Saccharomyces cerevisiae S288C: one gene and its partners. Changing the gene in region 1 together with any one later gene gives a genetic interaction. Each region holds a gene or a part of one and is shown in the gene's direction. Other genes may lie near its edges.

What was found. A genetic interaction does not mean that the proteins touch.
Region 2: mutations in GRX7 (region 1) and UBP9 together harm fitness more than expected from each alone (negative genetic interaction), as found in Saccharomyces cerevisiae (one large-scale study listed by BioGRID).
Region 3: mutations in GRX7 (region 1) and YER187W together harm fitness more than expected from each alone (negative genetic interaction), as found in Saccharomyces cerevisiae (one large-scale study listed by BioGRID).

What each region holds. Positions count from the first base shown.
Region 1 is NC_001134.8:264,963-269,828, reverse strand, and holds GRX7 (glutathione-disulfide reductase GRX7), read left to right. Parts: upstream 1-2,492; coding exon 2,493-3,104; downstream 3,105-4,866. Other genes in the region: alpha-1,2-mannosyltransferase MNN2, read left to right, coding at 326-2,119; YBR013C (uncharacterized protein), read left to right, coding at 3,948-4,337.
Region 2 is NC_001137.3:353,152-359,292, forward strand, and holds UBP9 (putative ubiquitin-specific protease UBP9), read left to right. Parts: upstream 1-2,314; coding exon 2,315-4,579; downstream 4,580-6,141. Other genes in the region: SHC1 (Shc1p), read left to right, coding at 1-85; ribose phosphate diphosphokinase subunit PRS2, read right to left, coding at 4,954-5,910.
Region 3 is NC_001137.3:563,688-568,217, forward strand, and holds YER187W (uncharacterized protein), read left to right. Parts: upstream 1-2,542; coding exon 2,543-2,968; downstream 2,969-4,530. Other genes in the region: YER188W (uncharacterized protein), read left to right, coding at 4,353-4,530.

The sequences.
Region 1 (4,866 bases):
ATGCAAACATGCAAGTCAAGTGAGTCGCCATTGGCTCGCTTGGTGATTAGGTGACTCTAATACATCGTCCAGGACCCGTTATTACCGTTCACGTGCTAAAAAAGGATCGCGTCCTTTTGCGGAGGGATGAAAAAGATAGTGAAAAAATAACAATGAAGAAAAAAAAAATATAGAAGAATCATCAAAATAAATTACGTGTACTTGGTGTTGCTTATACGTTAAAAGCAGAATTGCCCTACTTTTTAATATCCTCGTGCTGCTCAAGGTATCATATCTACTTCGAGACAAATCAGTGTAGGTAGGTCAGTAAAATTATATTTTCAGTATGCTGCTTACCAAAAGGTTTTCAAAGCTGTTCAAGCTGACGTTCATAGTTTTGATATTGTGCGGGCTGTTCGTCATTACAAACAAATACATGGATGAGAACACGTCGGTCAAGGAGTACAAGGAGTACTTAGACAGATATGTCCAGAGTTACTCCAATAAGTATTCATCTTCCTCAGACGCCGCCAGCGCTGACGATTCAACCCCATTGAGGGACAATGATGAGGCAGGCAATGAAAAGTTGAAAAGCTTCTACAACAACGTTTTCAACTTTCTAATGGTTGATTCGCCCAAGGGGAGTACTGCAAAGCAGTATAACGAGGCATGCTTATTAAAGGGTGACATTGGAGACCGTCCCGACCACTACAAAGATCTTTACAAGTTGTCTGCTAAGGAGCTGTCCAAGTGTTTGGAACTATCTCCGGATGAAGTAGCAAGTCTGACCAAAAGCCATAAGGACTACGTAGAGCATATAGCGACTCTCGTCTCGCCAAAGGGTACGTACAAAGGGTCCGGTATAGCCACAGTGGGTGGCGGGAAGTTCTCCCTTATGGCATTTTTGATCATTAAGACTTTAAGGAATATGGGGACCACGTTACCTGTGGAAGTCCTGATCCCTCCTGGTGATGAAGGTGAAACTGAGTTTTGTAACAAGATTCTGCCTAAGTATAACTCCAAGTGTATTTACGTTTCAGATATTCTACCACGAGAGACGATTGAAAAATTTGTTTTCAAAGGATACCAGTTTAAATCATTGGCCCTTATCGCTTCTAGTTTTGAAAACCTGCTCTTACTGGATGCTGACAACTTCCCCATCAAACCCCTAGACAACATATTCAATGAAGAACCATATGTGTCTACGGGCTTGGTCATGTGGCCCGATTTCTGGAGGCGTACAACTCACCCATTGTATTACGACATTGCAGGTATTGCTGTGGACAAGAAAAAGAGAGTTCGCAATTCTCGAGACGATATCACCCCACCTGCTGTTTACACAAAGGATTTGAAGGATTTGAGTGACGTCCCGCTAAGTGACCTAGACGGAACAATACCCGACGTGTCTACGGAATCCGGCCAACTGATGATAAACAAAACGAAGCATTTGGCTACGGCTCTTCTATCTTTATTCTACAACGTCAATGGACCAACGTGGTACTACCCAATATTTTCTCAAAAAGCTGCTGGTGAAGGTGATAAGGAAACTTTCATTGCCGCTGCAAACTTTTATGGTCTATCATTTTACCAAGTTAGAACAAGGACAGGCGTTGAAGGCTACCATGATGAAGACGGGTTTCATGGTGTAGCAATGTTACAACACGACTTTGTGCAGGATTATGGCCGTTACTTAAATGCTATGGAGAGCATTGGCAACAAATACGGTGGCACTAAATCAGCTGATGCAATCAAGTTTGACAAAAACTATTCCCTCGAAAAATACACCGAAGAATTTTTCGACAACGAGGACTTAAATGCCAAGAATCATGTAGATGTTATGTTCATCCATTCAAACTTCCCAAAGTTTGACCCATACGATTTATCTAAAAGCAATTTTTTGACTACGAATGGTAAACCTGCTCGTTCATATACGGCCTTAAAAAAGGTAAAAAATTACGATATTGAACTAGAGAATTTCAAGGTTTTAAACGAATATGTTTGTGTTAATAAGAATCCTTTCAAATATCTCGATGACCTTTTAGGGCAGGATAAAACGGAATGGAAAAGAGTGTGTGGTTACATCACCGATAGATTAGCATTTTTAGAATCTACTCATGATAAGGCGATTGCCGGTAAATAATATGCAACGGGTCGGACTATAGTTTGGACAACTTCCATTGGCGTTTTCTACATTCTTATTACTATTCCTTACATAGTTATGTTTATTTATCTTCCAGTTATGTAAATTTTTTCCTTCACAATCCATATAAAATGACTTTACTACAGATGTATAAATATGCAGTCCCGGGTGTATTTGAGAATCGAGACTACGTCATACCGGTAAGTGGGACTGCGTTTTGAAAAAAAATAAAGAAGTACTTTCGGCAGGATATTTGCCAATGTGTACATATCCCCTCAGTGAAAAAGCTCGAATCAAATAAAAGAAAAAACCTATATATTGGAAAGAAGCAAAATTTTCAAATTAAACGCAAAACAACTGAAGAAAATTAGAGATGGCTATTGTTATAAACAAAAGAAACGTGAGAGTCTTGGTAATAACTAATTTACTGCTCATTGTTGTGTTTTTTGTGTTAAGGAATTCGAATGCTAGCGTCAACGAAAGTATTACTACTCACCATCCTGATTCATTGGTGACGTTTGACAATTCAGGAAATGCACCTGGCACTCACCAATCTGTCCATGATACAGTAAATACACAAGATAAGGAAGCCGAAGAAGTTGATAAAAATAGTGGGGACGCTGAATTTGATGCCGCTGCAGAATACAACAAAATAATGGAACAGTCACCCATGATTGTATTTAGCAAGACTGGCTGCCCATATAGCAAAAAACTGAAAGCTTTGTTGACTAATTCGTACACGTTTTCTCCATCTTACTACGTTGTAGAATTGGATAGGCACGAACACACAAAAGAACTACAAGACCAGATTGAAAAAGTCACTGGTAGGAGAACAGTCCCAAACGTTATCATCGGTGGTACTTCCAGAGGTGGTTATACTGAGATAGCAGAGTTACATAAAAATGATGAACTTCTAGACTCTTTCAAAAAATGGAGCGATGGGGCGTTTACTGTAAAAGCTAATTCGCAATCTGAGAGTGCCTAGATCAGATTATAAACTGAGAGTTATTCTTCTTCTTCTCCCACAGTAGCGAAAGAGGATATTTAGGTAGTATACAGATTTAAATGTAGTAAGGAAAAAAATTAAATATTGGCCATCTGTTTTAGGCATTTCATGTGGACAACATAAGCCTTTTGGACTGTTTAAAGTAGGTTAACGTAGAGCAGAAAAATATGAGAAGAAGCCTGTAATTTGTATAGTCAAGCATATATATTACATGAGTTTGGTGATCAGCTTAATTTTTCAGTATTCAAAAAAATGCTTCCAATCGGATTTGAACCGATGATCTCCACATTACTAGTGTGGCGCCTTACCAACTTGGCCATAGAAGCAGTTTTTGATGTGAGAGTCGCGTAGCGAATTTGCTTATACAAATGTTAAGGTAACTTCAGATCTAAACTCAAACTTGTATTTTCCTCTATATTTATCTCATCTTGGATTGTGGTTTCCTAGTGTTGGTATAAAAATCAACTATCGTCTATCAACCAATAGTTATACTATCAATATATTATCATATACGGTGTTAGATGATAGACGGTATTTGATTTTTATTCCAACACGAATGATTGTTACTTGATTTGTTGATGAGAATAAATCTTTAGCCCACAAATTTTCGTATTCAAGGAGAGACAAAATGAGGCCGCCACTTACAGAGTATCACAAATCTGAGATAATCTATAAAAACCACAGCTACACCAGGACAGCATACACATATACATCAACACTAATCTAGATAGCCTCGCTTCTTAAGTTAATTTTCAGAGATAGAAAAGACTTAATAGTACAAGGATCCGTATTAATTGCGTTTTTAGGCCACTTAACCTCATAATGATATATCCCTTATTCAGGATATGTATCCTAGGTGCATTTCTGTTGGGTAGCTATGCATGTCTTGAAAATAGTACGCAAAAGGGTATTGAAGGGGTAACTCTCTCTCATAATAGTGTACAAATTAATAATACTTTGGCAAAATCTGCGCCATTTTGTGAGTCAGACGCTCTTTCAATGAATTATTCAACTGAAAATATGTTAAGTAATAATGCATGCGATTATACGAAAAATTCTTCGTATCCATATATTATTACCATTATTACTAAGGCCTTTGATAATGCCCTTGAAAATTCACTTAATTTACAAGCAAACAGGAAGCTTTATCACAGAGTGGGGACGTGTATACAGAATATTTTTTATCAACTGTTGTTAACTGTGAATTACTGAGATATATGTGGGTAATTAGATAATTGTTGGGATTCCATTGTTGATAAAGGCTATAATATTAGGTATACAGAATATACTAGAAGTTCTCCTCGAGGATATAGGAATCCTCCAAATGGAATCTATATTTCTACATACTAATATTACGATTATTCCTCATTCCGTTTTATATGTTTCATTATCCTATTACATTATCAATCCTTGCACTTCAGCTTCCTCTAACTTCGATGACAGCTTCTCATAACTTATGTCATCATCTTAACACCGTATATGATAATATATTGATAATATAACTATTAGTTGATAGACGATAGTGGATTTTTATTCCAACATACCACCCATAATGTAATAGATCTAATGAATCCATTTGTTTGTTAATAGTTTGAATGTTTTTATCGGAAGAGGTTTGGTCATTACGTCTGCAATATTCTTTTTGGTTTCGATATAGCATACGTGCAGATGATTTCCTGATACTTCATCTCTCAGTCTCATTGCTTTAGTACCAAAAAATCTGTTTCTAAATTTCTCTTCA
Region 2 (6,141 bases), on another chromosome or scaffold:
GTTTGTTTCGCGAGGACATCCTCCTTCGGCACAGAAATATCATAAAACCTCCCATGAAGCTGTGGCAGCCAAAAAGTTGATTTAATAGATAAATACAAACTTCGTTTTCCTTTTATTTTGTTGTTTTTTTTTTCACAAACTGTGGAAGTTCGATTAACTTTAGAAGTTTGTTTGATCAAAAATAGACTGATCCTCACACCTTTCGTTACTATTTGTTACTTTGCTGTATATCGAATAAATAAACCTGACTAAACTCCTTCTGTTATTTAGCGCAGATCCTATATGCTGCATTTTTAGATGTATTTGAGCACTACTATCGTTAATGCCGTGGCATTGGCTATGGACCAGTTAAGTCACGGCCTTTCTTAGTTCTATCATATACGACGTTATACTTATTTACTTTCCCAGCGTTGAAATTAATGTGTCTTTTTCATAATATTTACTTTTTGGTGCGGAAATCTGTAATATTTTAAAACAAAATCTCATCCTTTTGAAAAGAAACGATGAAGAAAAAAAATAATAACATACATTGTACCTTCACTAACACTTGTAAAACAAACGCTTACATTATAATGGCACAAATGAGCAATCAGTGTCACTTCTTCCTACATAAGCATAATTCAAGTATCGGGATATAAAGCTATTATATACCGCTTAAGATAAGAGGTATACACCTCATTGATCAAATACGCAACAGCGTCTCCTTTCAGACCTTTGTGGAGTAATTTCTGCGGGTAGGATTGACTATTTTTCAAGATCAATGCCCCCTCACACTAAGACCTGTTTGCTTAGCATCATAAATGAGTTTTTCCATAATTAAATTTCAACCATAGATTAGAATTTCGTTGCGGGATAAAACTCCAGAACCACAACGATTATGCAGCAAATGTAACCTTGAACTAAACTAAGATTTTGTTAGAGCAGGTGGTTTCCGTTACTCAGACAAGAACCTATAGTAGAAATATAAAAGTTTAAGTAAAACTTTCTTGGAATAGGAATCAGCCATCATCTATCAACTAGTGTACTGATATTCATAATACTGGTATACAATCATATACGGTGCGGGAAGATGACATAAAAAATTGAGAAACACTCATCAAATTTAATGGAGGCCGAAATGCAGGGACTCAGATCGTGATAGAATAATAAACGAGAACATATAAAATGGAAGAAAAAAGAATAACAACAATATGTAGATTTATCGATTCTGTTGATAATTAGAGGTAAAAAAATAGTATTAATGAAGAAATAATTACTGATCTTCTTATACTAAATAAGAGAGGTATATAAAACACACGCCGATTGGTCATATTAATCATGACCAATATAATAGTGATTCCGGTAGTTACTATACATTGATGTGACGACTCATATTCCTCATATATGTACCTACCATAACATGTTCAACTAATAGGTGTTTAACACAGCTTCAGTATTGTCTGAGCTTCTCGTTTAACATTCCTTCTGCAATAGGCGCAATCACACTTAAACGTATACGAGGTGTACATTAATATACGATGTAAGCATTAGATTGTTACCATAGCAACTCATGTCACTATTAATTACTCTCGTTCCAACAGATTCTCCTTTTATGGATTCCATATCTCGAGGAGACTTCTAGTATATTCTGTATACGCAATATTATAGCGTTTACGAACAATGAATCCCAACAATTATTTTAAAATTCACCAACATCTCAATATGTGTTTTATGAATATTTTAGGTGGGTATTGTCATACTGACGTATTCCATTTTGAGATGCAACACATACGTGTATTGTAATCCGATATAGTGTAACGGCTATCACATCACGCTTTCACCGTGGAGACCGGGGTTCGACTCCCCGTATCGGAGTACTTTTTTGACATCATACAGTGTATGTATGGGGTTAGGAGCCACCTTCCAACAAAGCATCACGCTGTCGTATCTCAATTGTCCTTCAGCAAAAGAAAAAGCAGTTGGGCTCCTGTACGCCATATATACTTTATATGCGGTTTTTACCCCGGAAATCGCGTTTATTAATGTCAATGCGCGATTTCTATTATGGGTTGAAAAAGTTGCACTTCTGTTCCTTTCCAAACGATATACGCCCCCCCCACAAGAAAACGTTTCTCTTGCATTCAATAAGGTCCATCGAAGCTGTATTTGGAACTTCCGATTTTATTAAACTTCTAGGGGCGAACTCAACCTTTCGCTTGAACAAGCTTGAATGTGTCGAAAACCTTAGCTCGATCCTTAAAAAAGTATTTGCATTATCAGTAATAAACAGAAAATTAAAACATTTACCAAAGGCAACGAGTCTTCCATATGAAAAATGATAAAAAGATGGTTATCTGTGAATAGGAAAAAGTCACACCCGGAGAAGAACACTCAAGGTAATGACGAAATTAATCGGAAAGCAACTAGCCTGAAGAAAACGAAAGGTTCTGGAGATCCCTCCATAGCGAAATCACCAAGTGCTAAGAGTAGTACATCAAGCATACCTTCTAATCTTGCGAGCCATGAAAGAAGAAGCAAGTTTAGTAGTCAAACGGATAACCTTGCAGGAAATAAACATTACCATGAGCATTACCATAATATGGCAAGTACTTCAGATGAAAGAGAGTACGATTCCTCGACTACATATGAAGATCGTGCGTTCGATACAGAGTCCTCCATACTATTTACTACTATTACAGATTTAATGCCATATGGGGATGGTTCCAATAAAGTGTTTGGTTATGAAAATTTTGGGAATACTTGCTACTGCAACTCCGTTCTACAATGCCTTTATAATATCCCCGAATTTAGGTGTAATGTGCTGCGATATCCTGAAAGAGTAGCCGCAGTAAACAGAATACGCAAAAGTGATTTGAAGGGTTCAAAAATAAGGGTATTCACTAATGAAAGTTTTGAAACATCTACTAATAGCGGAAATTCTAATACGGGGTACCAAAGCAATGATAATGAAGATGCACATAACCACCACCACCTTCAGCAGAGTGATCAAGATAACTCCTCTTCTTCTACTCAAGAAAAACAGAATAATTTTGAAAGAAAAAGGAACTCGTTTATGGGTTTTGGAAAAGATAAATCGAACTATAAAGATTCTGCAAAGAAAGATGATAACAATGAGATGGAACGGCCTCAGCCTGTTCACACAGTTGTAATGGCCTCTGATACATTAACAGAGAAGCTTCACGAAGGCTGTAAAAAAATTATTGTGGGAAGACCGCTTTTAAAGCAAAGCGATTCCTTATCAAAAGCTTCAACTACAGATTGTCAAGCAAATTCGCATTGCCAGTGTGATTCACAAGGCAGTAGGATTACATCAGTGGATGATGATGTCCTTGTTAACCCTGAGAGCTGTAACGATGCTGTCAACAATTCTAATAATAATAAAGAGAATACGTTTCCAACAAGTGAACAAAGAAAAAAAGCCGCTTTAATTAGAGGCCCCGTTCTTAACGTAGATCATTTACTTTATCCAACCGAGGAAGCTACACTTTACAATGGACTAAAAGATATATTTGAGTCTATTACTGAAAACTTGTCGCTAACCGGTATCGTTTCACCTACAGAGTTTGTCAAAATTTTAAAAAAAGAAAACGTCTTGTTCAACACTATGATGCAACAAGATGCCCATGAATTTTTAAACTTTTTATTAAATGATTTCAGTGAATATATTCAACGCAATAATCCCAGAATGAGATTCGGACCACAAAAGACAGACAACAGCAACGACAACTTTATAACGGATTTATTCAAAGGTACACTGACGAATAGGATCAAATGTTTAACTTGTGACAATATCACCTCAAGGGACGAACCATTTTTAGACTTTCCAATAGAAGTACAGGGTGATGAAGAGACTGATATCCAGAAGATGTTAAAAAGCTATCATCAGCGTGAGATGTTGAACGGGGTTAACAAATTTTATTGTAACAAATGTTATGGTTTACAAGAAGCAGAACGTATGGTCGGACTGAAGCAACTGCCCCATATTCTGTCATTGCACCTAAAAAGATTCAAGTATTCAGAGGAGCAAAAGTCAAACATCAAACTTTTTAACAAAATACTCTATCCACTAACTTTGGATGTTTCTTCCACTTTTAATACATCAGTATATAAAAAATATGAACTAAGCGGCGTCGTCATCCATATGGGGAGCGGTCCACAGCATGGTCATTACGTATGCATTTGCAGGAACGAAAAGTTTGGGTGGCTTTTGTATGATGACGAAACGGTGGAATCCATAAAAGAAGAAACTGTGTTACAATTCACAGGTCATCCAGGTGATCAAACTACAGCCTACGTTTTATTCTATAAAGAAACACAGGCTGATAAGACCGAAAATCAAAATGAAAATATAGACACTTCTAGTCAAGATCAAATGCAGACTGACAATAACATTGAACAGTTAATAAAATGCGATGATTGGTTAAGGGATCGTAAATTGAGGGCAGCTGCAAATATTGAACGCAAAAAGACCTTGGGGAATATACCTGAAGTTAAGACTGCAGAAACCAAGACGCCATTAAATGATAAAAAACGCAATAAGCAAAAAAGAAAATCGAGAATATTGAGCTTCATCAAATAAATCGGGATTGTTTCGATACATCATATAGTTGAGACCCATCTGTTCTAAAAGTATCAATATTAGTGTACCATTTTTTCTTCCTTTTTTAAATAATTTCCACGTTTCTTTCTATTGTTCCTGATCTTTCGAATTTAGTTGTATTTCACTTCACCTACTGTAATAACTTTTTTTTTTTAGAGCACAATAAAATTTCACATATTTTCCAAAAGCAAGGGCGGTAAATCAGAAAAGATTAAGCTTTAATGAAAATCTCATAGAGACCAGATGAAGAATATTGGTGGCAGCATAAGCGCTAATACTGAATAGATATACGCATTTTTTTTCAAAATATCTGTTAGTACATTTATACAAATATATTCGTTTATACCTCTTCTTTAAACAGGCGCATGTGTAAATAAATATGAGACTGATTCTCCATTATGCAATCTTCTGATAGCTTCTGCAATCGTAGGGCTGATATCCACCTGATCGACAATGTCCAAATCCAAATCAACAGGTACCGTGTTGGTGCAAACAATTCTTGATAACCTACTATTTATTAACTTCTCCCTAGCTGAGCCAGAAAATATACCATGTGTGACAATAGCGATAACCTCCTTAGCACCGTGATCCATTAATGTGTCACAGGCTTTCACCAGCGTACCACACGTGTCAGCCATATCGTCAATCAACAAGCATGACTTACCAGCAACATCACCGACAAGCAGCATTCGCGAAACTTCATTAGCTTTTTGCCTCTCCTTATGAATCAAGGCAAAATTCATATCCAGCTTGTCCGCTAAAGAAGCCACCCTTTTCGCACCACCAGCATCAGGCGATACCAGTATCGCATTATTGAAATCTGTTTTGGTCCTTATGTAATTCAACACACTTGGTTCACCGTATAAATTATCAACCGGGATATGAAAAAACCCTTGAATTTGTGAAGCATGGAGATCCATAGTAATAACATGATCACAACCCGCAGTTTCCAAAAGATTGGCAATCAGCTTCGCAGTGATGGGCGCCCGCGATTTATCCTTCTTATCTTGTCTAGCATAAGGGAAATTTGGTATTACTGCCGTAATTCTTCTGACTGATGCCGTCTTACAAGCGTGAATTAAGATAAGTAATTCCATTAAGAAATCGTTGATTTCATGTTCCCCGTAACCAGTTTGGATGATATATACGTCTTCATCACGAATGCTTTCCCCTATTGTAACAGACGTCTCTTTATTTGAATACTGATATACCCCCACTTTAGATAACGGTACACCAAGCCTTTGGGAAATAAGCTCAGCAAGCCCAGGATGTGAGTTACCAGCTAACAACTTAATACTGTTTGTAGACATATTCAACGAAACTTACGACAAGATAGTCTTTGGATGATGAGGAATATCCTCTTCTTAGCAATCCCTCGATGCCTCCTCATATCATCTATTGTTCAAAATTTTTTCATTGTTGAAAAATAGTCACGTGCTTAACCATTTTGCTGCGCGATTTGGTAGGAGGATAAATACACGGGCATACCGTATCTGTTCAATAGCAACAATGTCGGAGAGAGCTAAACTAGCCAACTCGCC
Region 3 (4,530 bases), on another chromosome or scaffold:
AAATGAGTGATTACTGTGCCATCATTTTGACTTCAAAGATCATCTATATCTTGATATAACATCTACCTGTCGAAAGTAAGATCATCCCTTTGCGGGCATGTAAGGTGTAAGATATAAGAACAAACAATTGCTAGAAAATAGCTTTGAATGAATGTTAAAAGGGACTGAACTTAGAAGTGTGCGATTTTCTGTTTTCAAAATTTGCCCAAAGCGCTTCTTTTCTTTTTAAGAATTGTATAGATGTAATTATTTAACGGATGTCTGACATTATTGAACCTTCCTAACTCCACAAAAATAACCAACGGGACCTCTACCTTACTAAACCACTTCCCGCCCCATTAACTAACCAGCATAACCTAGACAATACAAGGAAATGTACTTCGAAATTTTAAGGTAAACGCAATTCTTGTCACAATATAAAGCTCTCACTGTGCTCATACACTGCTTCGATAATAAAAACCAAATGGTTTCTACTAAAACATAGCAAGCCTCACAAGATATAGAGATCACACACCATTGAAAAAGAAAGTTCAGCAAGTTTGCTGGAGGTTGCAAAGAGACTAACGAAGGGCTTTCATAACGACATTTTACAGTTATTGATAAAAGAATGCTTTTACGACAGCAGAACCTATTGGTTTGAAGAAGATAGAGGTCTAGTAGTATATTGTTGCTTTAATGATTCAAACTCTTAACAATGTGGGCAAATATGCGTATGATTTCGTTCTGGGAAAGGATAGTAAGAAGCCTTTTTGATTACAAAACCGTGAAAGACGGTTTAGCAGCTTTTACAGGAAACCTGCTTTACCTTAGCCAGTGTTTTCTCATCTTCAAAAAAAAGTATTGTACGCAACTCTTCCATCTAGCAGAGCTCCCGCTCTTTTTCAAACAAGTTTCATTATATTTATTCTTAATAATTTTGGTATCATCGAGGTGAGGTCTTCGTTGTTTCAACACCAGCTATTTTTCAGCGGCTTACAATTACGTAGTTCTATTAACGAATACACTGGGAGGTGAGTATAATCATGGACTGTAACACTATACGACTCCAACACGTTATATGTATCAGTTATATATATATATTATATTATTTTGGGAAGAGTAGCATTGCTTTTGAAAGTACACGGGGTTTACTTTGGCTCATAGAATGGGTCTGGATATGAAATTCTGAAATATTCAGATTTTGGAGTACTGAAAATATTTAGCAAGAATTTCAAATATTAGTTAGTAAACCAAACCAAGGCATCTGAACTTGAACCTCCATAACTCGCTTTCTAACATAATGAGCTTGTATGACATAATATTATAGAACTCGAGGTTAACCTTTAAATATAAATATAGTAATCTTCATGATAATAATTTCAGGGTAGTGCGCGTATTTGTCGAAAAAACGCAAAATGACAGAAATTCTATGTTTACTGACTTTAGATTTTGTTTTAGATCAATTGGCGGAAAAAGGACGCAGTCTGTAACTTTGATTGGCATCTTGATTTGATTTGTTGGGTGGTTCTCTTACAATCAATGGTTTATTTCATGGAAAGCTTGATGACATGTGATAGCACACCATGCTAATTAGTGAAAAGAGTCCTTGTTGACTTACCACATGTGCAGCCGCCTTTTACCGTGGTGCGAAGCATATTGAGCGGCCTGGAGACCAAGAATGTCAGGGCCTTTAAACAATAGAAGAAGTGTATAGGAAAAAACTAAGGTGTTTTGAGATATTTTTTATAAAAGTAGTATTTCTTAAAAATCAGCGGGGAGCCATTCTTTGAAGGCGCGCTTGCAAATTTTAGGTATTGGGCTTGATTATTTTGGCAAGTGTCATGCATTGTAACAAATCTATATAAAGTGACAATTCTGGAACACTGTATCGTAATCCCAAATAATGTATGTAGAATAGAAAAAAATATATGAAAAAATGAATAGATCATACACAGACGACATGAATAGCAGCCCTCCAAATTACTTGACAACAAGGACGTTTAGAATCGTTAGATTGTTTGCAATAATTTTTGCACTGCTTTTGGTAGCGTACTCATTATTTTTAAGCACACTTAGAACTGGAGCTATACCTGACCGCGCCAACACTGCTGCTCTAGTACGGCGAGCTAGGTGATCATTTGCGACTGGATTAGGACTAGGAGGATTTTTAATTGCTGCAGCCGCTTATGCTACTCCTTACTGGGTCGCAGCAACCTGTATCGCATCCACTAGCGGAATATGTTCACCTATAGCTGGTGCTGTTTTAGCAACTTCAGCAGTTATAGTTGCAGCAGTTTTAGTGGGAAAGAGTTCTGGCTCAGCAACAAAGCGAGGGTTAAGTGAGACTATTAATGTACTGAATCATACTATAACACTCACTGATCATGTGCTCAATGGGCAAACATTGTCTAATGGTACTGGTAGTAATTTTGTTACAATAGAGTTTAGTGGGTATGCAGTACATGACACTATTAAACGTGACGGTGCTGCTGAGATCAACTTTGTGGGGTATACTACGGAGCATGGAACCCACATCAGCACGAGTAGCGTACATAATGTGAGCATGCTCATCGATCAAATCGTGGCAGCGGTACCAGGGGTACCTGATATAAGTGGCAACGCTTCGGCCCTATCGTTACAGAGACGCAGTCAAGAGTTCGCCACCTCATGGATATCAATGACATATAGTCAGAGTTATGGTGACCTGGCACAGAACTGGCAGAATGACGAAGGTGGAGCAGGAAATTTTGATTCTTATGCTGAAGAGAAGTTACAGAATTTCTTTTCAGGTAATAGGGATTGGAAATACTGCTTTGCTGCTGAGGACACGAAAAACGGTGAGCCACTTGATTACGATGACATACCTGGTGACGGTGCAGGCACGGGTTCGGCATTCAAGTCTGAGATATATTTTAACACTTACGGTGGTATAGATAATTATTGTAATGACGAGCATATCGGTGCTCAGAACACTGGAGATGGTCGATAAAGCTTTACGCCTGTCGCTGAATTGACTGACCCGAAATTAAGAACTGTTGACGTAGTGAATTACGATCTAGTTTATATGTCATAATGTAGTAAGTTTATTGGACCCTTCTATATGTTATGTAAATGTAATAATTACATAGTTACTGCTTTTGTACATAGAAACTATAGTTTCTTAAGTACTACCGGATTAGAGGTTTGCTACTATATGTTTTCCTTGTCTCAAGCATTACTGAAACAACTCTGAAACAATACTAAAACATTACTCATATCATGCTTTTGGGTTACCACATTCAACAATAACTCGAATACATTTATAAAAAAAACAAAACTAAGGTACAAAACACACACCACACCACATACGCGCTGATTGGTTTTATGGAAGCTAATAGTTCAGACATAGCTCAGAAAAATAATAATAAGTATTATCAAATATAACTCATCTGGTTACATGCTAAGTTCTTGTCAAGTGATATAGCGTTATCTTTATTATTGAATTAAATTCTATAATTAGAATTCGACTACACCAACTAATGACTCTAAAAAATATGTGATTGCCCTTCAAGATTGCATTATTTCTCAATGCATTACATACATAGAGTATACTAGATACAGATAGATGATTGTAAGTGTTGGAACAAGATTCAATTATCATCCTATTTATTGCGATAGACGCACTACTTGAGAGTGATATACTTACTTATGCTACTGCATTCAAAGAGTACCACTAAACAATCTCAACAGAATCAATCAGACTTTTTTTTGCCACAAAAACTTTTAACGATGTCCTTTGGCAGTACTGTATTTTGAGATTAAAGGCGTTCAGTCAATAAAAAATCTAAATTCTTGTTCATTTTCAGTTCTGGTATTTTTTTCATATTAATGATGGGGTGGCTCTGGAGGCTCATTTTTCCCACTGAAGATCGCTGGTAATTTCGTTCGTATGTTTTAAAGAGAACTATATCCTGTCGCCAATTATGTGCAGTTGATGAGAAAACTAAGATAGAAATAAGTAGGGATGGAACCAGGATCCACAAGAAGCGCGTTTAGCCGATCCGGCTTATCAGGTACGAGAAGCAGTATTATTAAGTAAGAAAGCGCGCAGGAAAGCGGCCTTTTGAAAGCACGTCTGCAGACATCTCACGACACATTCCCAAATAGGGCCCTGCTAAAAAAAAAGCAGCAGAGCGTACGTTGCCTGGGAAGCATGGTTTAGCGTGTTGCTATATTATGGTAAGGGGGGTGGTCAGTATACGTTGTGCTGACTGCCAGAGAATATCCTTATTCACAATTATTTGTTGAGTTTGATACTTATTTACAGAGACTATATATAATGACACTTTTGGAATACAGTATCGCTACTCAATATCATAAAAAAAGTAACAATAATGATGCCTACCTACCTAGGAAAGTTAACGTGGTCATACTTTTTTACCACTTTAGGACTAGCTTGTGCTTACAACGTAACAGAACAAATGGAATTTGATCAGTTCAAATCAGATTACCTTGCCTGTCTCGCACCAGAACACAGAAACATTGTAGTCGATTTGGCTAGTAATGGATTCA